Canis lupus familiaris: one gene and its partners. The protein of the gene in region 2 purifies or fractionates together with the protein of the main gene of each other region. This does not show direct contact. Links are inferred from orthologs where the notes say so. Each region holds a gene or a part of one and is shown on either strand. Other genes may lie near its edges.

Region 1 (4,956 bases), on a different chromosome or scaffold from region 2:
GTCACATGCTCTACTGACTGAGCCAGCCGGGGTGCTCCTACCCACTGAGACTTTAACAAGCTGTTTCAACCCATCTGGAAATCGTTTTGGTTTTCTGCCATCAGCAGGCATAATTATTTTATTTATTTATTTATTTTAAACTTTCAGACTCACACATTTTTTTTTTCTTAATAAACTCCACACCCAATGTGAGGCTCAAATTCATGATGCCGAGATCAAGAGTTGTATGATCTACTGATTGGGCCAGCCAAGAGCCTCTGCATTATTATTTTAAAAATGAAATACAGAAACACTACTTCTTAGTCCTTTAAAGTCCTACTGCACATACCATTTCTTCGTGGGGTTATTAGAAAGCTTAGTCCTGAGACATGATATGTAACAGTATCTGCTTTATAGTACCCGCTGCATTCTACTGATTTTGTAAAGATTAAATATTTAAAAGCTTATATAAAGCTTTCAAGAAAAATGTGCCAGGCAATATGCCAAGCAGGAAATAAAAAAAAAAAATTTAAGGTACGTGCCCTAAAACCAACTGGGTGAGGCAGACAGGTAAACAAATCCCACAATACACTGTTAAGAGTCGCCAGAGGCTTAAGGAACCAGGGCCCAGCCTCTAAACTCAGCGCGGTGTCCACAGAGCTGTTTCCTAACAGCGGATGGTGCTGGCCGGCAGAAGAGGAAGGGTGGGCTGGTCACAGGACACAGCTGTCTGCTGAGGCAGGGAGTTCCGAGTGGCAGATCCCAGAGCTGCAAGTGTGTGGCCTGGAGGATGGGTCTTCAGACGCCTCTAAGCCGGAAGGCTTTTGCAGTCCACATCAGGCAAGTTCTTGAAGCAAAGGGCCTAATTCTTCTGTTCTCCCTGACTCAGGAACTCAGCATAAATTTCAGAGTTTACCAAGTTGCAGTGCCCCCGGCCTCCAGCGCAGACGCCTGCGGCCCCAAACCTCAGTGCCCCAGGCCAACTTTTCCTTCACCCACAAGTCACTTCCCAAGTTTCTACTCTGCTCCAAGCACTCACCCAAGGAGGACACTCAGGGTTTACAAAGGTAACCTGGTCATCAAGCTTCCTCAAGTGGAACTCCATCGTTTAGGTCATTTCAGGTTATTTGGTCCTGGCCCGACAGGCAGATTCTGGCCCTCATCTGCCTTTCCTTTTTCTCTTTTCCGTGTGTGTGTGTGTGTGTGTGTGTGTGTGTGTGTGTGTCTTCTGTTTTCTCTTACAGTCGAAACCCGCAACAGCTCCTCCGAGGCAGCATCTTAAAACTGCGACAAGAAAGCAGAGTGTTCGCCCCCGCGATCCGCGGACGCCCGGGGTGGGTGTTGGCACGGCGTCCCCGGGCCCGTCGGCCGAGACCCGGGGCACCAGAGGAGCCTCGGTGAGGCCGGAGGCTTCGCGGCGGTGCCAGGCGGCGGGAGGAGGTGCGGGCGCCGGCGGCACCAGGGCTGGGCGCTTCCCGGCTCCGCGGCCTGCAGCGGCTCGGGCGGCGTCCGCGGCCTGCGAGGGGCCGGGCGGGGGCGGGGCGGGGCGGGGCGGGGCGGGGCGGGGCGGGGCGGGGGCGCGCACCCCTCCTCGGCGGACTCGCAGGCCTTGAGGCCCCGCCTCCTCCGGGCCCAGCTCGGCTCCGCCGCCCGAGGGCCGGGCCCGGCCGCAGGGCCCCGCCCCGCCCCGAGCCCCGGAGAGCGCGGCGGCGGGAGGCGGGAGGCGGGAGGCGGGAGGCGGGAGGCGGGGGCGGGGCGGGGCGCTCGGCCGGGGGCGGAGCTGCGGCCGCTCGCCCGCCCCCCGCTCGCCCTCCGCCTGCCGGCTGGCGCGGCCATGGAGGTCTACATCCCGTCCTTTCGCTACGAGGAGAGCGACCTGGAGCGGGGATACACGGTAGGCGCGGCCGCGGCCGGACGGGGCCCCCGAGCCGGGACGGCGGCCGCCGAGCGCGCAGGGCCCGGGCCGCCGCCGCCGCCGCCGCCCCCCGCGCGGGTCCCTCGCTGCCCCCCGCCCCCCGGGGCCCGCGGCCGGGCTGCTCCCCCGCGCCGTTGCCAGGGCGACGGGGCCCCGGCTCGCCCCCTCCCCCTCCCCCTCCCCCTCCCCCGCCGCCCCCCCGCCCGCTCCCGGCCTCCGGGCAGCAGCGCGGGCAGCCGAGCCCCGGCGCGGAGCTCGCCTCCCCCCCCCTCCCCCGCCCGCCCTGGGCAGCCCGCGGTGGGCTACGCCGCCCCCGCCCGGACCCCAGCCGCCCTCCAAGTTCTGCGGGATTCATTCAGACGCATAAACAGGCTAATTGTAAGGGTCGTCTGTAGCTCTTTATCAGCCGGAGTGCACACCTGTGTTGCTTTCCGATCCGATGGCTTCCAAAGTTCGCCCCCCCCCCCCCCCCCGCCCCGTTCTGCTGGGCCCTGAAATGGGCAGAGTCAGGTGCTTCACTGCGCACCTGTTCGGACCTAAGGCTGATCCCCGAGAACCGAGACACGGGCCCCGGGCTCCCGAGTGAAAGGCTGGGTCCGGGGGGTGAACGCCAGGGCCTGGAACCTTCGATCCAGAGTTCAGTAGCTGAACTGTAGGTGGCTGATTTCCCAATGAACTTCGACGCCTTCATCTACACCGTCATTGCTGGAGGGAGAAATGCCTTGGAAGACTTTATTTCCAGCTGTTAAAGAGAAGATTGCAGACGGCAGTCTGAGAGGGCTGAGAGAACTCACCCACTTGCCAAACACCGTTTATGTTAATCTGGGAGGGTATTTTACCCTTTCTCTCTCCTAAGTATTCTTGGGTATAGGTGACAGCCTATTTGGAACCTTGTGTGTTTTCATAGGGAGGCTTAAATCTCCCTCTCAAGAGAATTTTTGGAATTAAGGGATTGAAAGTGGAATTAAGTGATTGGGAAAAAAAAAAAAACAAACAAACCCAGGGAGTATGTGGATTTTTAGGGTTAAGTAGACCTCTGGGTTCAGGTGTCCCAAAAGAAGTACTGAGTACCTTCCCGTGGGGAGGCTGAGCTCTGTTTGGCCATTATTTATATAAATAAGTCTTCCCAATGAATTAATATTTGGTTAAGTATTCTGCATTTTCCTTAAAAAAAAAAAAAAACTGTGAAAAGCCTTTTCCTGAAACCCTTGAAACCTTGCTCTATTTCTTCAGTTCAAGTATGTCTCTCACAACCCCACACACCTCTCCCAAATCAGCATCGGTAGTCATCAAAGGCCTGCCATCTTTTGGGGCATTCTTCAGGATCTGAAGATTATAGCCTGCTTGTTTGGTCTTTAGAAGTGTTCAGATGAAGGTGGTCTCAGTAATCCAAACGAAAAGCTACTTACCTTCTCAAATAAGAACTTTGAAAAAGATCATTACTGGTGTTTCTTCTCTTACAGGAGCTGTGTTTTTCCACAGTGTTTTCAAATACCTTTTAATTACTTGTATTATGACCAGGCATGTGCCACATTGTGAATTAAATTGATTTGGAAGGAGCCCTGTTCTTGGCCAAGTTGGCAGTTTGAAGATTGCTTATATGATGATAGTTTGTGTGCTTTTTAAAGGCTTTTTTTTTTTTTTTAAGATTTTATTTATTCATGAGAGACACAGGGAGAGAGTGAGAGGCAGAGAGAGAAGCCGAGTCCATACAGGGAGCCTGATGTGGACTTGATCCTAGGATCCAGGTCATGCCCTGGGCGGAAGGCAGGCGCTAAACCATTATGCCACCCAGGCAGTCCAAAGGCTCACTTAAAAAAATAAATAAATAAATAAATAAAAATAAATAAATAAAAAAGAAAAAAACAACCTAATTCATTTAAATTGGTGACCTTATTGTTAAGATACCTTTGCAAGTGATTTTTTTCCTGTGTGAGTCAATGGAGCAGCTTCTGGATCCTTCGTTCCCTCTGAGCAGCTGTTTTATAATTGCACAGCACTTATTCATTTAGCAAATAAGTGTCTGCTTGGTGTCTCTATTCTAGGTCCTGGGAGCTTAGCAGTGAATAATATTTCATCTTTTTAAAAAACCTGAGAATTAAAAAAAATATAATCTTGGGTTCCTGAACCAAAAACTTGTGAAATAATGTACACTTAAGAGTAAAAAGCGTCTTTTTACTTTAGTGATGATGTTTATTGAAGAATATTTAAGAAATCTTGCATTTGAACAAATTCAGTGATTGGAGGCTTATGGTAAAGAAGTGTGGTTCTTCCTTCCTTCTAATCCCATGCCCTCAAGACATAAAATGTGAGGGTGCTTTCTTAGAGCCCTTTCTCTATGCCATGAAAACTTTCCTTTTTTTTTCTTGGAATAAATTGTGAGATTTGACTATACTGTCATCCTACAACATGAATATATTTCTGTTCTGATATGGATAGATCTGTCTCCTCCTAGCTACTAGCAAAGGGAGCGCCCTCATGAGGAATATGCCATCATTTTTTTACCCAGATCTCTTGTTGATGGCCACTGACATTTGCTTCTAATTTTTAGCAACCGTGTCAAATGTTGAAATGAGACATCACTGTGCATGCTTTTTTTATGCCTACGACTAGGATTTTTGTAGAACATTAACTAGAAGTGGTACTTCTGGGCCTTTTAAAGTTTTCATAGATCTTGCTCAATTGTTAGTCAAGAAGTTTATACAGGGCAGCCCCGGTGGCGCAGTGGTTTAGCACCGCCTGCGGCCCGGGGTGTGATCCTGGAGACCCAGGATCAAGTCCCACGTCGGGCTCCCTACATGGAGCCTGCTTCTCCCTCTGCCTGTGTCTCTGCCCCTCTCTCTCTCTCTCTCTCTCTCTCTGTGTGTGTGTCTCTCATGAATAAATAAATAAAATCTTTAAAAAAAAGAAGTTTATACAAAGTTATGCTCACTGTACAAGGTAATTTACCTTTAAAGAGTGAACTTTTGCCTTTCGAACACTTAAACATTGACTTTGGGCTTGCGTGATGTCCAGTGTGGAATGAAAGGTAGAAGGATATTGTTCCCATCCTTAGGGATTCT
Region 2 (4,379 bases):
TGCCAGGGGCAAACTCTGGACCATGGCTTCTCCCTCAGGGCACACTGGAACTGGTACGCGAGCACCAGGTGGGGCTGGGGTCCTGCCGCCTCTCAAGTAGGTGGGAGCAATGGGTGTTCACTTTAGGATCAGTTCCCACATATTACATATGTTCTCTGCTATGGGAACTGACCAGGACACAGGACGAGAGAAGGGAACTGGGGGACTCAGCCACTTCTACCGTGAGGGCCATGCGTGCTCAGTGCTCACCCTCACTGCCAGCCCAGATTTTATACAAATGGCCCACTCCACCCTCCCACACACCACACCCGCCCTGAGCCTTGACCAGAAGCAGCTGTGGACTGAACAAATGTTCTCTACTGAGAGGCCACCAAAGAAGGGATGGTCCAAAGCCACCCTGGAGACATCCAGATGAGAAAGAGCAGTTGATGTCTAAGCAGGACCTGGCACTCTACTGCATTTTGAGAAGAACATAATGTCTCCCCAAGTCATTTACCAACACATCTAAGCAAGGTTTATTCCTGCTTTTCCAGGCGTTTAATCCACCATTGCCAGCAAACTTGCGGCAGGTAGAAGCATCTGGGGCATGGTGCTGACTGCCAGGCAGGGCAGCTGCATGCCTCCTCAGGAGCAGAGCTGCTATGCAGCAGTGGCCTGGGCACGACGATGCTCAGGTTCAAATCTCTGTCCTCGGGCAAGTTCTGCGTATCGATTTCCTCAGTCAGGACACAAGGCTGGCTGACATGTTTCTGCACAGGACTGTAGTGGCAGCAGACATGCCAGTGTCTGTAAGTGGAGACCAACTCCTCCCCTAGGCGGCCTGCTTGCCTAAGTGCCGCTCTCTCTAGCCAGGCACAGCACCACTGCCACAGGCCAGGCAGTATCTAGACAACCCTGCACAGCAAGCTACAGAGTGCACGGCAGTCTCAGCTCCCTCCTATGATGTATCCGCACATGCAAGCAAGCCCAGGATGCAGCATTAAAAGCACCTAAGAACCACAGTCAGAGATACTTGCCGTCCCTTCACCACAACCAAGTGGTCTGTGTGTATTTGCATGAGATGTAATGCAGAAGGCTGACCTTCAGCAAGAGGACCCCTGCATCCTGTCTGCAGCCCCAGCGGCTTCATCTTGGTTAGGAGGAATTCACACAACACTACCAGAATCATGGACTCTGCGTTTCTGGACATCATCTCTTTTCAAAAATTGGTATCTTTACCTTTTTTTTTTTTAAAGCACCTTGATAATATCCATTAAGTGCACATTTGAAACAGGAATAAAACTCAATCTACAGGTGGAGGATGGCAAGAAGGGAGAAGATCCTAGGTTTTTAGGGTCCGAGAGAAGGGGCACAAATCTTAACGCAAGGATTCAAAGTGAGATGCAATGCTGCAGCTTGGGCCCTCAGGCCTGCCGCAGACGATTGTGGTTCAGGGACAGAGAAATCCCATCCTGAAGGGAATAAAGTCTTCTCTGTCCAGTCTCTCTTATCCAATTCCTATTGGGGTATCGGCTGACTGTCTTCTTTCCTTTTGCCCTCTGGCCCTCCAGCTTGCAAATTCTCAGAGATGCTGCTTGTTAACACTCAACACAACTTTTAACTGGAAGCTTTATTCAACCCCCAGCATCAGGCCCTCCCCAACCACGAAGGCCACCTCCCGAGTCATCTCCTTTTCATCACCACCTGTTAAGCTGTGTAGACTGTCCTTTTTTTTTTTTTTTTTAATTTTTATTTATTTATGATAGTTACAGAGAGAGAGAGAGAGGCAGAGACACAGGCAGAGGGAGAAGCAGGCTCCATGCACCGGAAGCCCGATGTGGGATTCGATCCTGGGTCTCCAGGATCGCGCCCCGGGCCAAAGGCAGGCGCCAAACCGCTGCGCCACCCAGGGATCCCTGTGTAGACTGTCCTTGATGCCTAAGAAGCCGGCCTTCTGCTGAGGGTCACCAGAGGGCAGACAAAATGGCTGGGTCCTCTGCTGACCACTCCCTGGGGCCCACAGGGGCCAGGACATTTTTACCAATGGCCTCCTCAGGCCCCCAGAAAGCCGAGATGGGACACCCTGGACCTCCTCTGTGAAGTGTCCTGAAGGACTGTTTGTGTTGCTCTGATATGTATGAGAGACATGTGTTGCTGTGTAAAGCAAGAAATGTTGGTTGCTAGTAGCAACACAGATTAAACCACTTTTGTGGAGGAAAGATGCCAGAGTGAAATTAATCCTCCCTTCTCACCTGAAAAAACGCAATTCAGACTCTGAAGACAAGCTTTCATTTGCAAGGCACCGAGAACACTCCAAACTATGAAAGTACCACAGAAGCTTCTGCCACGAAGGGTCTCCTAACAGGATGAAGTGCAGCCATTCTTCAGACACAAAGCCTTCTTCCCAAGGGGAGCTTCTTGGGGCAAAGCACGGACATGTCCTTCCTAATGCTGAGGTGTCTTCAGGACTCTGAGACGCCCAAGAAAAGCCCCGCCTGCTCCCTTAGCTGAACTATCTTAAAGTCCAGAGAATTCTAAAAGTTAAGATCAGACATCAGATACCCTTAGGCCCAAGAGAAGGTTTCGAAGAATTGGGACAATAATTGAGTTAGAAAGGGACACAGAGATCACAGAGTTCAAACTCTGTTTCACTCAGGAGCGTCTGAAGGGACTCCCCACCAAAGCTATGAGCAAACCATGTGACCGAGGTGGCATACCTAACAATCAGGAGTGTGCCTGAAAAATCACAATTTACACAAACCCTGAGTTCAAAGACACGACTAGTTAACATGAGGCTACGGAAAAGCAGACAATCATGCTTTATGTTGAACGAGGCCTTCAGTAGGCCTCTTGGTAGCTGAAGGAAGCCACATGACTGAGTCACATGTATGGACGTTTCCCTCCCTTTCCCAAATAAACCAGAGGCTATGCTTCATGATCCATTCTCCCTCATCAAATACAACCCTGGTTTTCTTTTGAACAGGTAAAGGGCATACCTCCTCCCTGCATCATTTTGTAGATTTTGCTCTCAATGTGGAGCTGAGGGTGTTTGGTTTTGACACATTCAAGCTTGATGGCAACTTCTTCTCCTGCAGCAATGTCCGTACCTTGGCAAAAGAGAAAAACCACAAACATTAATAATCTGGTGTCCACCACCTAACGCAATACTATAACACACCACAGACCTTCTGCTCCGCTTTCCCCTGTGAGATGGGTGTCGGTGGTTGACAAACCCTGTGGAAAAACCATCATTACTTTCACTTTTTAAGCAGGAAGTCTTTGATATGTATAGAAAAGTCTTATTTAGTATTCCCTCACCCACTTCCATATGTCCCACTCTGATCACGTCAATAGGGGACCCAGAGACAGGGCAGTGCATTTCTCTCTGCAAGGACTCCCATCTTTTCTGCCCTGAACTTTCCTGTCCCACCAGCTGGTGGTTGGCCCCTGTATTCACCTACCCAGGGCGAAGCAGTTCCAGGGTGACTGTGTGTGCTCCCCATTTCTCCATGCTGCCTGGATAGGCCTGTGTGGGTGGGTGGGTGTGGGCCTTCCTTTTTACCAAACACCCACGGCTTCAGTCCACCCACCCTGGGTGTTGAGCCGCATAAATCTCAGAACAGTTAAGGCACTTCTCCAGTGGAGCTGGTTCCCCCAAGGACACTCTGCAACCTTCTCCCTTCCTGGGGAATAGGACACTACTGTGCATTTCTTACTGATACTGGACCAGAAGGGTGGACTCCCCTTTAGAGCCCAAATGACACTTATGCAACATGTACCTGTCACATACCTTTTGTTAGTTTTATGCTAAAACTAACAAAACATCAGCTAATACCTCCTGATAACAGCCTATGTTCTATCTCTGCTTTACTTCAATTAAGGAAATGCAGATATGACAACGCCCTGCCCCAGGCTTCACACACAAATGCTCCTGAGCTCCCATTTGACCCAAAGCTGTGCCCATGAAACCTTCCTCAAGAAGCTTTAGCTGAAGAGAACAGGGAAGAGTCTTAACCTACACCTAGCTCTCCCCCAGGTGCCTTGTAAGTACAGGTGTCCCTTATCTGCAGTCAAACTCGGTCTGCAGACAGATGCTCCTGTGCCTGCCCTCTGGTCAGGTCAGCAGGAGCCTCACGCCACGTCACACACCCGCATCACTTCCCTCCCGCCCCTCGTCACATCGGCACTTCACCACTTCACAGGGTCACAAGAAAGGGGAGTACAGCTCAGTAGGATTTTTGTGAGACCCTAGTTACAGAACTTTATTTACAATATGTTGCTATGATTGTTCTATTTTATTATTAGCTATTGTTGTGAATCTCTCACTATACGTAATCTATAAACATTATCATGAGTAAGTATGTCTAGGAAGAAACAAGGTATACGTAGGGTTTGGTATT
Region 3 (5,028 bases), on a different chromosome or scaffold from region 2:
GTCATGCCACTTCTGAAGGTGTTAGAGAGGGATCTGTTCCAGGTCATTCTTCTAGCTTTGAATAATTCTTGGCTTATGGCACCATGACTCCAATCTTCACAAGCCATTCTCTTTGTGTGTGGGTCTGCCTCTGTGTCCAAATTTATAAAGACGCTAGTCATATTGCATGAGGGCCCACCTTAATGACATCATCTTAACTTGATCATCCACAAAGACCTTATTTCCAAGTAAGGTCACCTTCACAGGTACTAGGGATTATATGAATTTTAGGACACAACTCAACAATTGCCCTATCTTTCCTCCTTTTAACCTTGCTGGACACATTGGTGGCAGAGAGTATTCATTCATTCACTCATTCATTCAATAAACATTGCAGTGCATATGTGTCAGGCTCTTTACTGTGTATTGATGGTGCAAAAAACAAACTGGACAGCCACCCTGTCCTTGAGAAGTCACACTTTAGAGGAAATCAGAGATACATTATTATGATAATAAATATTATTGAACACCTACTTCATGCTAGGTATTAAAGTAGGTTCCCTTCATTTACTTTTCACAATAGTATGTGGGGTGATGTATCAGAGACACACCTGGGGAGATGGGTGTCTGTCCTAAATCTGCTCTGGACGACAGGAATATTTTTGCAAATTAGGTAGCACTTCATCTGAGTCTAAAGGCCTGTGTAGAAGTACACTAGATAGCTCAAAGGTTGCTGTGGTGAGTAGCACATTCTAAAGAAGAGCATTTTATAAAGGAAAAAAATAGCACGTGGGAAGGTTAAGAGACATAATCGTAAAATCCACCAATGCTGAGGCTTTTGTCTATTTCCCTCGGGTACCTACAGTGCCTGGTTCATTCAGCCATCGCCTAACGAATACAAGGGCATCACACGGCCAAAGGAATGCCCTGGCCTGAGGCTCACTGTCGCTAGAAAGGTGGACGAAGGCCTCTTTACGAAGAGGCTTGTTAATCACACCAAGGGTGAGAAATCAGGGCCGACAGGTTGAAGATACACATACAGCATGAGGGGATTCCGGGTGCCTGGCACCCGCCCTGCCCATTCCCCCTATTCCCCAGAACACGTCCCAGGGAGCCACCCCCACCCCCACGAGGGCCAGAAGAATGGAGGTGGGGCCCCAGGGAGCCACCCCCACCCCGCGAGGGCCGGAAGAATGGGGAGGAGCGCGCCAGCTCCACGCACTCCGAAGTCGGGTTTTTCGGCCAAGGCTGCACTGAAGGCTGCACAAGGCTGGGCCTGAAGTCTAACGGAGCTTTCTTCTCTGCCTCCAACGCGTCCAGCGCTCATTCCCCTTCCGGCTCCTCCGCCGACTCTCCGGGGACCCCCGGCTGTTGCAGGCCTTCCCGGAACGCCACAGGAGGAATCCCGGAGCGCGCTCCCTCCGCCGGCCGCGCCCTCCTTCCCTCTGGAACGCAGCGAGAGCGCACGCGCACCATCGGAGCCGAGCGCGCGCCCGCGAGCTCCCCGCATCCCCGTGCTCATCCGGGTCTCAGAGAACTTCAGCCAATAGGAGACGCTCACGGCCTCCAGGGGCGGGGTTAAGCCGTCCCTCACATGGGGCCTGTGGTCACCGCGCGCGCTTCTAGGCGACCAGCCGGCGGAGCAAAGGGGCCGAGGAAAAGAGCTCAGAGTCTGAGCAGGGGTCGACGGCTTTGAGATCAAGCAGCTGCCGCCGCCTAGAAGCGACTGAATCGCGAGCCGATCCCTCAGTCGGAGCCTCTGTAGTAAACACACTTCAGAAACGTGAGGTGCCGGGGGTCACGTGGGGAGCGCGCCCTCCAATGAGGAGCCGGGGGCGGGGCCGAGGCCGCTGACGCGGCGGTGGCGGCGGAGTCACCCGGGCAGCCTCGGGACCGGTCACCGGCCGGCAACCGTCCAGCGGCCTCGACCACCGCCTCGGTGCTCGCTCCTCTTCCCCGGGCCGAGAGACTGCGTGGCCGACGGTGGCTGGATCTCCGCTCCTCCCTCTCGGTGGCTGGCCTCAGGCGGGCCGTTTTCTTCTCAGGGGCCGCCTCGGTGGGGCGAGGTTTCCGTGACGAACCTCCTGGGGCTGCCGGCGCCGGTCGGGGCCGTCGGGGCGGCTCGGGCTCGTGGAACGTGCTCACTGCCGGGCCCCGAGGCCTCGGAGCGATGCGCCTCGTGCGAGCGGTGGCGGAGGGCGCCGGCTCCTAAAGGGCGTCACACCCGCACTCGGCTGACTGGGCAACCTCCATTCATCTTCCAGCTGCGCCTCCAGCGCCCGCTCCTTCTGCGGCCCCCTCCTCGGACTCGGTTGGCCCTTTCCCCCGCTGCCGCCCTGTCCCCACTGCTTGGGTGTGGCGGTTCCCCGTGGAAGCGGAGGTGACGGGGATGAGCCGGCCCTTCCTTCCTTGACTATCTGGGGAGGGGGGACCTGGGCGAGGACCCGCCGCGCCCCCGGGATGGGGGTGAACGCCGTGCACTGGTTCCGAAAGGGGCTCCGGCTTCACGACAACCCCGCCCTGAAGGAGTGCATCCAGGGCGCCGACACCATCCGCTGCGTCTACATCCTCGACCCCTGGTTCGCCGGCTCCTCCAATGTGGGCATCAACAGGTGGCGGTGAGTGGAAATGCCGTGGGACCTGGGGCTTTCGGTGTTTAACGGGTCAGGGTTTGACCCGCAGCCGGCCGGACCTGAGAATTTAGACCCGGGGCCGCCGTCCTTAGGCCGTTTCGGATTAGAGGTGCCTCGGGTAGTACGTAGAATTGGCTTAGTAGTTCCCTGCCGGAGCGTGCTGGCAGCCTGGATCACCTCGGCCTTCGTGTGTGAGTTACGTGCCTCCGCGCCACTGGAAACTTCCCCTGGTTTTGTGGGGCAGTTCTTAGCGGTGGAGCACAAGAAACGCCCTCCCGGTTCTCAGTGGCCGCTGGATTGATGTTCTTGGCTTCTTGGCGGCTTTCGGAAGGATCGCGGCTTTGGGTGTTTACGTTTGTGTGTGTCTAGGTAACTCATAGTGTGGGGAAAATCTTTCATTCAGTAGAGGCACTTCCAAATCCACTTTTCTTCCACCTCGAGGTCGCCGTAGGAAAAGCAAGGCAAACATCTGGTTTCTCTTTGCTCAGCTGTTCCTCTCAACTCCTCCTTGTGGTTGACGAGACAAAGCACAGTTTTTCTTTCTAGGCAAAGTATAAAGCCTTCTAGGGATTAGAGCACTGAAAAAAAAAATCTTCCGACAAGCTTTATGATCTTTTCCTGAAATCCCAGGCTAGATGATTTTTAGGCCCCCTGGTGGAAATGAAAGCGTTTGTTTTACAGATAGGGTTTTTTTTTTTTTTTAAGATTTTATTATTTATTCATGAGAGACCCAGAAAGAGAGAGTGAGAGAGAGAGGCAGAGACATAGGCAGAGGGAGAAGCAGGCTCCATGCAGGGAGCCTAACCTGGGAATCGATCCCAGGACTCCAGGATTACGCCCTGGGCTGAAGGCGGCGCTAAACCCCTGAGCCCTCGGGGCTGCCCTACAGATAGGTTATTGATCACTACTGTCTACCAGGCACTGCTTTAAACACCAGGGAGGTAGCAGGGAAAGAAACAGACAAAAATGCTTGTCCTTTTCCAGTACATGTCTCAGAAAGTCAAGTATATAGTAGTTTGAAAAAATTTCTCTGATCATAGTTGTGAATTGCGGGGGAGGAAGGTGGACAAGAAACAGGGGGCTGTTGCATTCATCCAGGTGAGAGATGATAGCCGCTTGAACCATAGTGATAGTGGTGGATGTGGTGAGTAGTCAAATGCTGGGCATATTTTGGAAGTGAGAATCCGCAATGTTAGCATATTGAATATGTGGTATTAAAGAAAGAGAAGGGATTAGGAAATTATTTCAAAATTGTTGGTTTGAGGACCTAGGGTTAAGTGAAGTTGTTTGCAGAAGCCAGTGGGAGGGTGATTGGAGTTCTCTTTAGGACTTGATTAAGTTTGAGATGTTTATTACACATCCAGGTAGATATGGCAGATTGGCAGTTGGATATATTGGGTGCTCAGGACAGAGTTCCAGGCAGGACATATAAATTGGAAGGTTATCAGTTTGTAGATACCATTTAAAGCCATTTATTCGTTCATCCATTCATTGAACAAATATTATCATGCACCTACCACATGCCAGGCATTGTTTTAGGGCATTCAGCGTTAACAAAAATAGCTAAAAAATCCCTACCCTGTTAAAGTTAAATTCTAGTGGAGCCATGAGACTGTATGAGAACATAAGGAAGTGAATGTAGATAGAAAACAGAGTAGGTCCAAGGACTGAGTCTTCAGTACTCTAATGTATAGACATTGTGGAGCTGTGGAAGAATTAGCATAGGAAATTGAGAAGGAATATCTAGTAAGATAAGAAGAAAACCCAGAAGAGTTTTGGTGTCTTAGAGGCCAAGTAAAGAAAATGTTTCCAACAGCGTGCTTTACCTATGTCAGGTGTTGCTGATAGGTCAAGTAAGATGAAGACTAAAAACTGAAAATCGTATTTAGGATTTTGAAGCCATTTATAGTCTTGACTGGAGTGGTTTCGGTAGTTTCTGGAATGCCAAAGAGAGACTGAGAAGAGAGAATTTGGGGGACAATTCAGCTCTTTTAGGGGAGTTTTGCTGTAAGAGGATCAGAAAAATGATGGTTCCTGGATTGGGATGTGAACTCGAGAGGACTTTTTTTTTTTTTAAAGATTGGAGAAATTGCAGTATGTTTCTGTGCTTATGGAAATGATATAATAACTGTATATAAAAGCATTCATTAGCAGAATTGATGTCATTAATGCAAATTCTGAGGAAAGATAAATGTAATATATTTTAGTGTATTAACAGTATCTTTAAAAATAGAATAATAATTCCCTTTTCATAAAATTGTTAAAGAGGATTATATTAGTTAACAAATGTAATATGCTTAAAATGTGACTGATAGTAGTAAGTGCTTTTTTTGTTATTTGCTACTAAATTGAAAGCCCTAGGTGAGTAATATCTAATTAAATGTTTGCAGTCCATTTCTTCTAGAGTATTTGATAA
Region 4 (5,130 bases), on a different chromosome or scaffold from region 2:
CACAGGGAGCCCGATGCAGGACTTGATCCCGAATCCCGGGACCACGGCTTGAGTTGAAGGCAGGCGCCCAACCGCTGAGCCACCCAGGGGTCTCTCTTTCAACTTTTATTGATCATATATATGTAACAGGTGTCTATGATTGGTCTTAGTGAAGGGAAAGGTTGAAATAATCTTGTGGCTTTAGAAGGTTTTTGAATATTTTTAGCACGTACTGGAACAAACAGCTGACTTCCTTAGTCACTGAGAAAGCAGTGTCTATTAACAAATATATATCTTGTCAGATAACCTAGGGCTTCCTTTTAGGCAATTAGAATCTAGAAACATAATCCCTCAATCCAGGCAGTATTTAAATCACTGCAATATTAGAACACCTGGTTGTAGTCCTAGTTTGACTCTTAGCTTGGCGAATGACTAAATCACTTCTCCGTTTACTGGCTTAATTCTTTAATTCCTATGGTAAGATGTCTCATCTATTGCCCAATTCAGTTTAAGATAATAGGTCAGTATATACTTGGATGTTACAAATGGTACAAATATGTATGCATCGTGGAGTTTGAGAATATAGTCTTTTTTAAATCTAAGAATTTATAAACCGCCTGGGTACATTGGCGGTTGGGCGTCTGCCTTCGGCTCAGGGAATGATCCCAGGATCTGGGATCAAGTTCCACCATGAGCTCCTTGCAGAGGGCCTGCTTCTCCCCCTGCCTGTGTCTCTGCCTTTCTTTTATATATATATATATTTTTTTCATTTATGGTAGTCAGAGAGAGAGAGAGAGTGTGAGAGAGAGAGAGAGAGAGAGAGAGAGGGGCAGAGACACAGGCAGAGGGAGAAGCAGGCTCCATGCACCGGGAGCCCGACGTGGGATTCGATCCCGGGTCTCCAGATCGGGCCGTGGGCCAAAGGCAGGCGCTAAACCGCTGCGCCACCCAGGGATCCCATGTCTCTGCCTTACTCTCTCCCTTTCTCTCTCTCTAGAGTGAATAAATAAAATCTTAAAAACAACAACAACAAAGAATTTATAAATCAGAGCTGTTTAAACCTAGTCTTCCGGTGACAGGCACTGAGGAGGGCACTTGATGGGATGAGCACTGGGTGTTATACTATACGTTGGCAAATTGAATTTAAGTTAAAAAAAAATTAACCTATTCTTCTGGTTGTGGTAGACTTTAGATTGTTAATCTTTTTATTTTTCAACACTATTTTCACTAGCACCCCTTCTATGATTGATTTTATAGCTTATTTCAGTTCACACCTGCCAGTGTTTTAGTCCAACCTGGCTCAAAACAGAGAACCATGATCAGCCTGAGTAATCAACCTGAGACATTAACATGAGCTCACCTCAAAAATGGATTTGAGAGTAAAAGGGTGGGGAGAAAAAAGGAAGTATTTAGGGAAGAGATGAAAGTTATTAAAATGGCTCAGTTCAATCTAACAAGTTTTATCGGGTGCAAAACTATGCTAGTCATTTTAGTAATGCCAAAATAAGCAAGACAGTCTGCCATCAGGGAATCTAGCGTATGAGGTGAAGAAGTGGTGCATAAATTACTAAAGTATCATGCAGAGTACATAAAGGAAACACAAGGAGAGGGGGGAAAACTACCATTAATTAAGGACATTTTTAACATGTCAGAGGCAGTCCCATATATGGACTCACATATCTTAACGACCCCTCCAAAACTTCCAGGTAAGCTGAGGGAGGATAGGTAAGTTGTTCAAGGTCATCCAAGCTAGAAAGTGTATACTGGCTTTTGTCCGAAGCCTAGGCTCCTTTCAAGACGTCATTGCTAAGAGGGAGGCCAAGGAGGAGTGGAAAGGGAGTAAGCACGCCTGGATACTCCTAGCTGCGGTGGAGGGAACAAAGGGACCAGAGGAGCCGTTCGCGCGGCGTGTAGGTGGGCCTTGAAGGATGGACGGGAGATTGGGCGGGCCCGCGTGGGGAGGGCGGGACGTTCAGCCGCAGGAGTAAGGAGAGCTGCTGGCGCATCTCCCAGTTCCTCCACTGGAGGAGTCGATCCAGGCTGGGAAACTCACGTGCGGCGGGTCGTTTCCTCTCCGCCCCACCCCAGGCTTTTCCTTGGGGCTTTTCATCGGTCACCGGTCGCGCCGTTAGGTATACATTATTTCTGTAACTGGAAAAATCTCAGTGTTTTAACAGCGACCACCGAGTCCCTAGCGCGGTGGGCGGAATCCTGCCGGCGCCCCTGGCACACCCCCTCCCTCCCGGCGCCTCAGCCAGGCCGCCGCCACCTGGCGGGCGCTCGTCCCCCGGGAAGGGCGCTCACCCCCGCGGGCGTTGCGCCTGCGGCCGCCGGGGTCCGAGCGGGGGCCGAGGGGGCCGGGCCGGGGCAGCCCGGCGGGGGCGGGGCGGCGCGGCAGGCGCGGGGCTGGGGGGGCGGCGCTGCAGGAGCGGCCGGCGCACCTGCCCGGAGCGGCGGGGCGGCCGGCGGCTGCGCGGGCCGACGTGCCCCCCCCTTCCACTCCCGCCTTGCCGTGTGTTTACGTGGAGACGAAGATGGCGGCGGCGGTGACGGCGTTCCCCGGGCGGCGGAGGGCGGTCGGCCAGTGAGCGCGGAGACTGGTTCCACGCCGGGCGGGGGGGCGGGGGGCGCCGGGCCCGGCCCTGCCTCCGAAGCGGCGGGGCTTGCTGTCCCACGTCCCTCGGCAGCGACCTTCCGTTTTTACCCCGGACCCACTCCCTGTCTTCCCCCAGCCTTCCCGTCAGAGGCCATGGAGGACGAGGAGAGACAGAGGAAGCTGGAGGCCGGCAAAGCGAAGGTAAGAGCCCCGGAGGCTGCTGGGGCCCGCGGTGGGAGGCGGTGGCCGGAGAGGGGCGGGAGAGGGCCTGGGAGGCCGAGGTCGCCGCAGCCCCGGCTCGCCGCCCGGCCGGGAGCTGCCGCAGGACCCGACTTTCCCCTTCGCCCTCTTCTCCTTTTTCCAGTTGAAAACGCTTGGTGTGACCGCCTAGCGGATGATACTTCCGTGAACGTTGGGTGGTGCGGCTCTGCCTTGTGAATGCCCAAATAAAACCCTTCCTTTCCTGCCTTGCCGGAGGCTGGGATTCGCTGCTTCTAACCGTCCAGCCTTTCACTGTTCGAGGGAGTTCTCTGCCTAGTTGCAGGCATTGTGCTTCCCGGGGTGGGGATCGAGGCTTCTCTTTATCTGGTGGGGGATTTGCGCGTCGCTCACCAGCTTAGCCTTCTCGGTGGCAGGCTGGCACCCCTGGGTACGCGATTGGCCTGTGGCAGCTGCCTTGGCGGTGGCCTCCGTGTGCCACAAGTGCCAGCTGCGGAGTTGGCGTCGGGGGCGCTTTAGACACAGCGTTCTGTTCTGCGTTTGTGTTTGGAGGTCTTTGTCGTGGCAGGCGCTTCTGTGGTGTGTGGAACGGTAGTGCAGTCTGAACCCACTGCGGGCGACGGAAGGTACCATGTTCTAAGCAACACCTATGGAATTCCTGCTCTCAGTGATCGAATCGATGTATGCGTTCCAGTGAGTCCGTATCTTATGTCTGCGTGAAAGAAAAAAAAAAACAAACAAACCTGTAAAGCCAAGGATTCCTGACTATAAACAGATACTCCTCACCGACCTTCTGAAAAATTTGATAGACGAGACCTAAATTAAATAGCATATTTCTTTTAAAAATTACATAGTCGAGTCTGTCTTCTAGCTGGTCTCCAAGCCTCCCCCCCCATCCTCCGTTATGACGACGTTATCTTTTATAGATTATATACCGTCTTATTAGAGATAATTGTTAACAGTCATACTTGGACCACAATTAAATTATAATATAGTTAATTGTTGTTTTTTCTTTCTTCCTCTCTTTTCCTTCCTCCAAATAAATAAAAGGGACAGGGGTCCATGATTTCAGTAATCATTGAAGGGCTATACTGCAGAGATGCGGTAGTAGATGCTCAACCCAAGTTTCTTAGATGAGTATGCATATAACTTAGCTTCATATTTCTGAAATACAGTTGGCTTTCCCGTAAGTTCCTTCTATCTGAGATCAAAGCTTGAGGGCTTTTATGTTACCAGGTAGATATTTACTTTAAAATCTGTAAATGGAGGAAAAGGGGAATCAAGGAATCTTAAGAAGCCCAGAGCTGCTTACATTTCTGCAACCTGAAAGTCTGAGCAAGCTCTGAATCCAAGAAGGTGGATAAAGTGTGTGCCTCCTTTGGAGGCATTGACGTTCTAATTAGACATTTCATTAATTCAAAGTTTGGATTGCCTGCCCCCAGAATTATCTTCCTAAAGATATGTACGAAGTAGTCCTACAAAATATTCTTTGCTTTGGACAACACGTATAACAGGATTTATTTAAATTGATTTGGCCAAAAAAAAAAAAAATTCTAGTTTCTTTGTGTGTGTGTGTGTGTGTTTGTCTGTCCTTCAGTACTCTGCTTATGGAGTGAAAATCTTTTTCCTTTAATAGTCACTTATATTGTAGAGGATTATTGTCTTCTGGAGTTGAGCCCAGTTTTTCTAGTGAGAAATCTGTCAGATCTATAAGGCAAGATTTCTTTGCAGGAACATTAGCTGTACAATATAAAAACACTGGAAACAAGGAGAGAATTAGAATCATTGTTTTCAGATCATGTGAGTGCATCGGAATATTACGCAGCCATTAAGATTGATGACCAATAAAAATATGAAAAATAGAATGAAAACAGCATCATCAAAATTAGTGTATATATTATTGTTTTAACTTGTGTGCTCTTAGATTAGGACTTAAAAATTTTGTAAAGTCATTCAGCAAGCCTATATTGAACTCAACTCCTGTTTTATACCAACAGTTGGAAATTTAGAGATGGTGACAGTCTCTGTTCTCGAGTTGCTCACAGTTTAGTGGGAGAAACAGACACTGGGTAATATGCACAGTGAGAGAAGAGGTACAGTAGGATTTGGGGTGAATTTTTGATTTGTAAAAGTGTGTTAAATGCTGCTACCTTGCTTTTAAGACTACAGAGAAGGCTCTTGATATTAATGCAGCCAGTCATGGTACCTACCACATAGTAGGTACTCAAATATTTGCTTAATGAGTGAATGAGTAGAATGACTATGAGTCGTTCATAGGTACTACTTTATTAGAATGTTGTAATTTAATAGCAGTAATTCTCTTAATTGGAAGTCTG

What was found. The genes of interacting proteins can lie anywhere in the genome.
Region 1: the proteins of CSNK1D (region 2) and SNX24 purify together in Homo sapiens (affinity purification with mass spectrometry; 3 studies listed by BioGRID and IntAct, counting the BioPlex papers as one, with this or other methods). This does not show direct contact. The link is inferred for Canis lupus familiaris from reciprocal best matches to the Homo sapiens genes CSNK1D and SNX24.
Region 3: the proteins of CSNK1D (region 2) and CRY1 purify together in Homo sapiens (affinity purification with mass spectrometry; 3 studies listed by BioGRID and IntAct, counting the BioPlex papers as one, with this or other methods). This does not show direct contact. The link is inferred for Canis lupus familiaris from reciprocal best matches to the Homo sapiens genes CSNK1D and CRY1.
Region 4: the proteins of CSNK1D (region 2) and AKAP9 purify together in Homo sapiens (affinity purification with mass spectrometry; 4 studies listed by BioGRID and IntAct, counting the BioPlex papers as one, with this or other methods). This does not show direct contact. The link is inferred for Canis lupus familiaris from reciprocal best matches to the Homo sapiens genes CSNK1D and AKAP9.

The regions. Positions count from the first base shown.
Region 1 is NC_049232.1:12,602,477-12,607,432, forward strand, and holds the start of SNX24 (sorting nexin-24), read left to right. Parts: upstream 1-1,745; 5' UTR 1,746-1,813; coding exon 1,814-1,873; intron 1,874-4,956. UniProt on the Homo sapiens protein: May be involved in several stages of intracellular trafficking.
Region 2 is NC_049230.1:906,530-910,908, reverse strand, and holds part of CSNK1D (casein kinase I), read right to left. Parts: intron 3,087-4,379; coding exon 2,976-3,086; intron 1-2,975. UniProt on the Homo sapiens protein: Essential serine/threonine-protein kinase that regulates diverse cellular growth and survival processes including Wnt signaling, DNA repair and circadian rhythms. It can phosphorylate a large number of proteins.
Region 3 is NC_049231.1:32,733,342-32,738,369, forward strand, and holds the start of CRY1 (cryptochrome-1), read left to right. Parts: upstream 1-1,817; 5' UTR 1,818-2,439; coding exon 2,440-2,597; intron 2,598-5,028.
Region 4 is NC_049235.1:17,541,857-17,546,986, forward strand, and holds the start of AKAP9 (A-kinase anchor protein 9), read left to right. Parts: upstream 1-1,919; 5' UTR 1,920-2,111; intron 2,112-2,494; exon of another isoform or gene 2,495-2,711; 5' UTR 2,712-2,728; coding exon 2,729-2,776; intron 2,777-5,130. UniProt on the Homo sapiens protein: Scaffolding protein that assembles several protein kinases and phosphatases on the centrosome and Golgi apparatus. Required to maintain the integrity of the Golgi apparatus. Required for microtubule nucleation at the cis-side of the Golgi apparatus.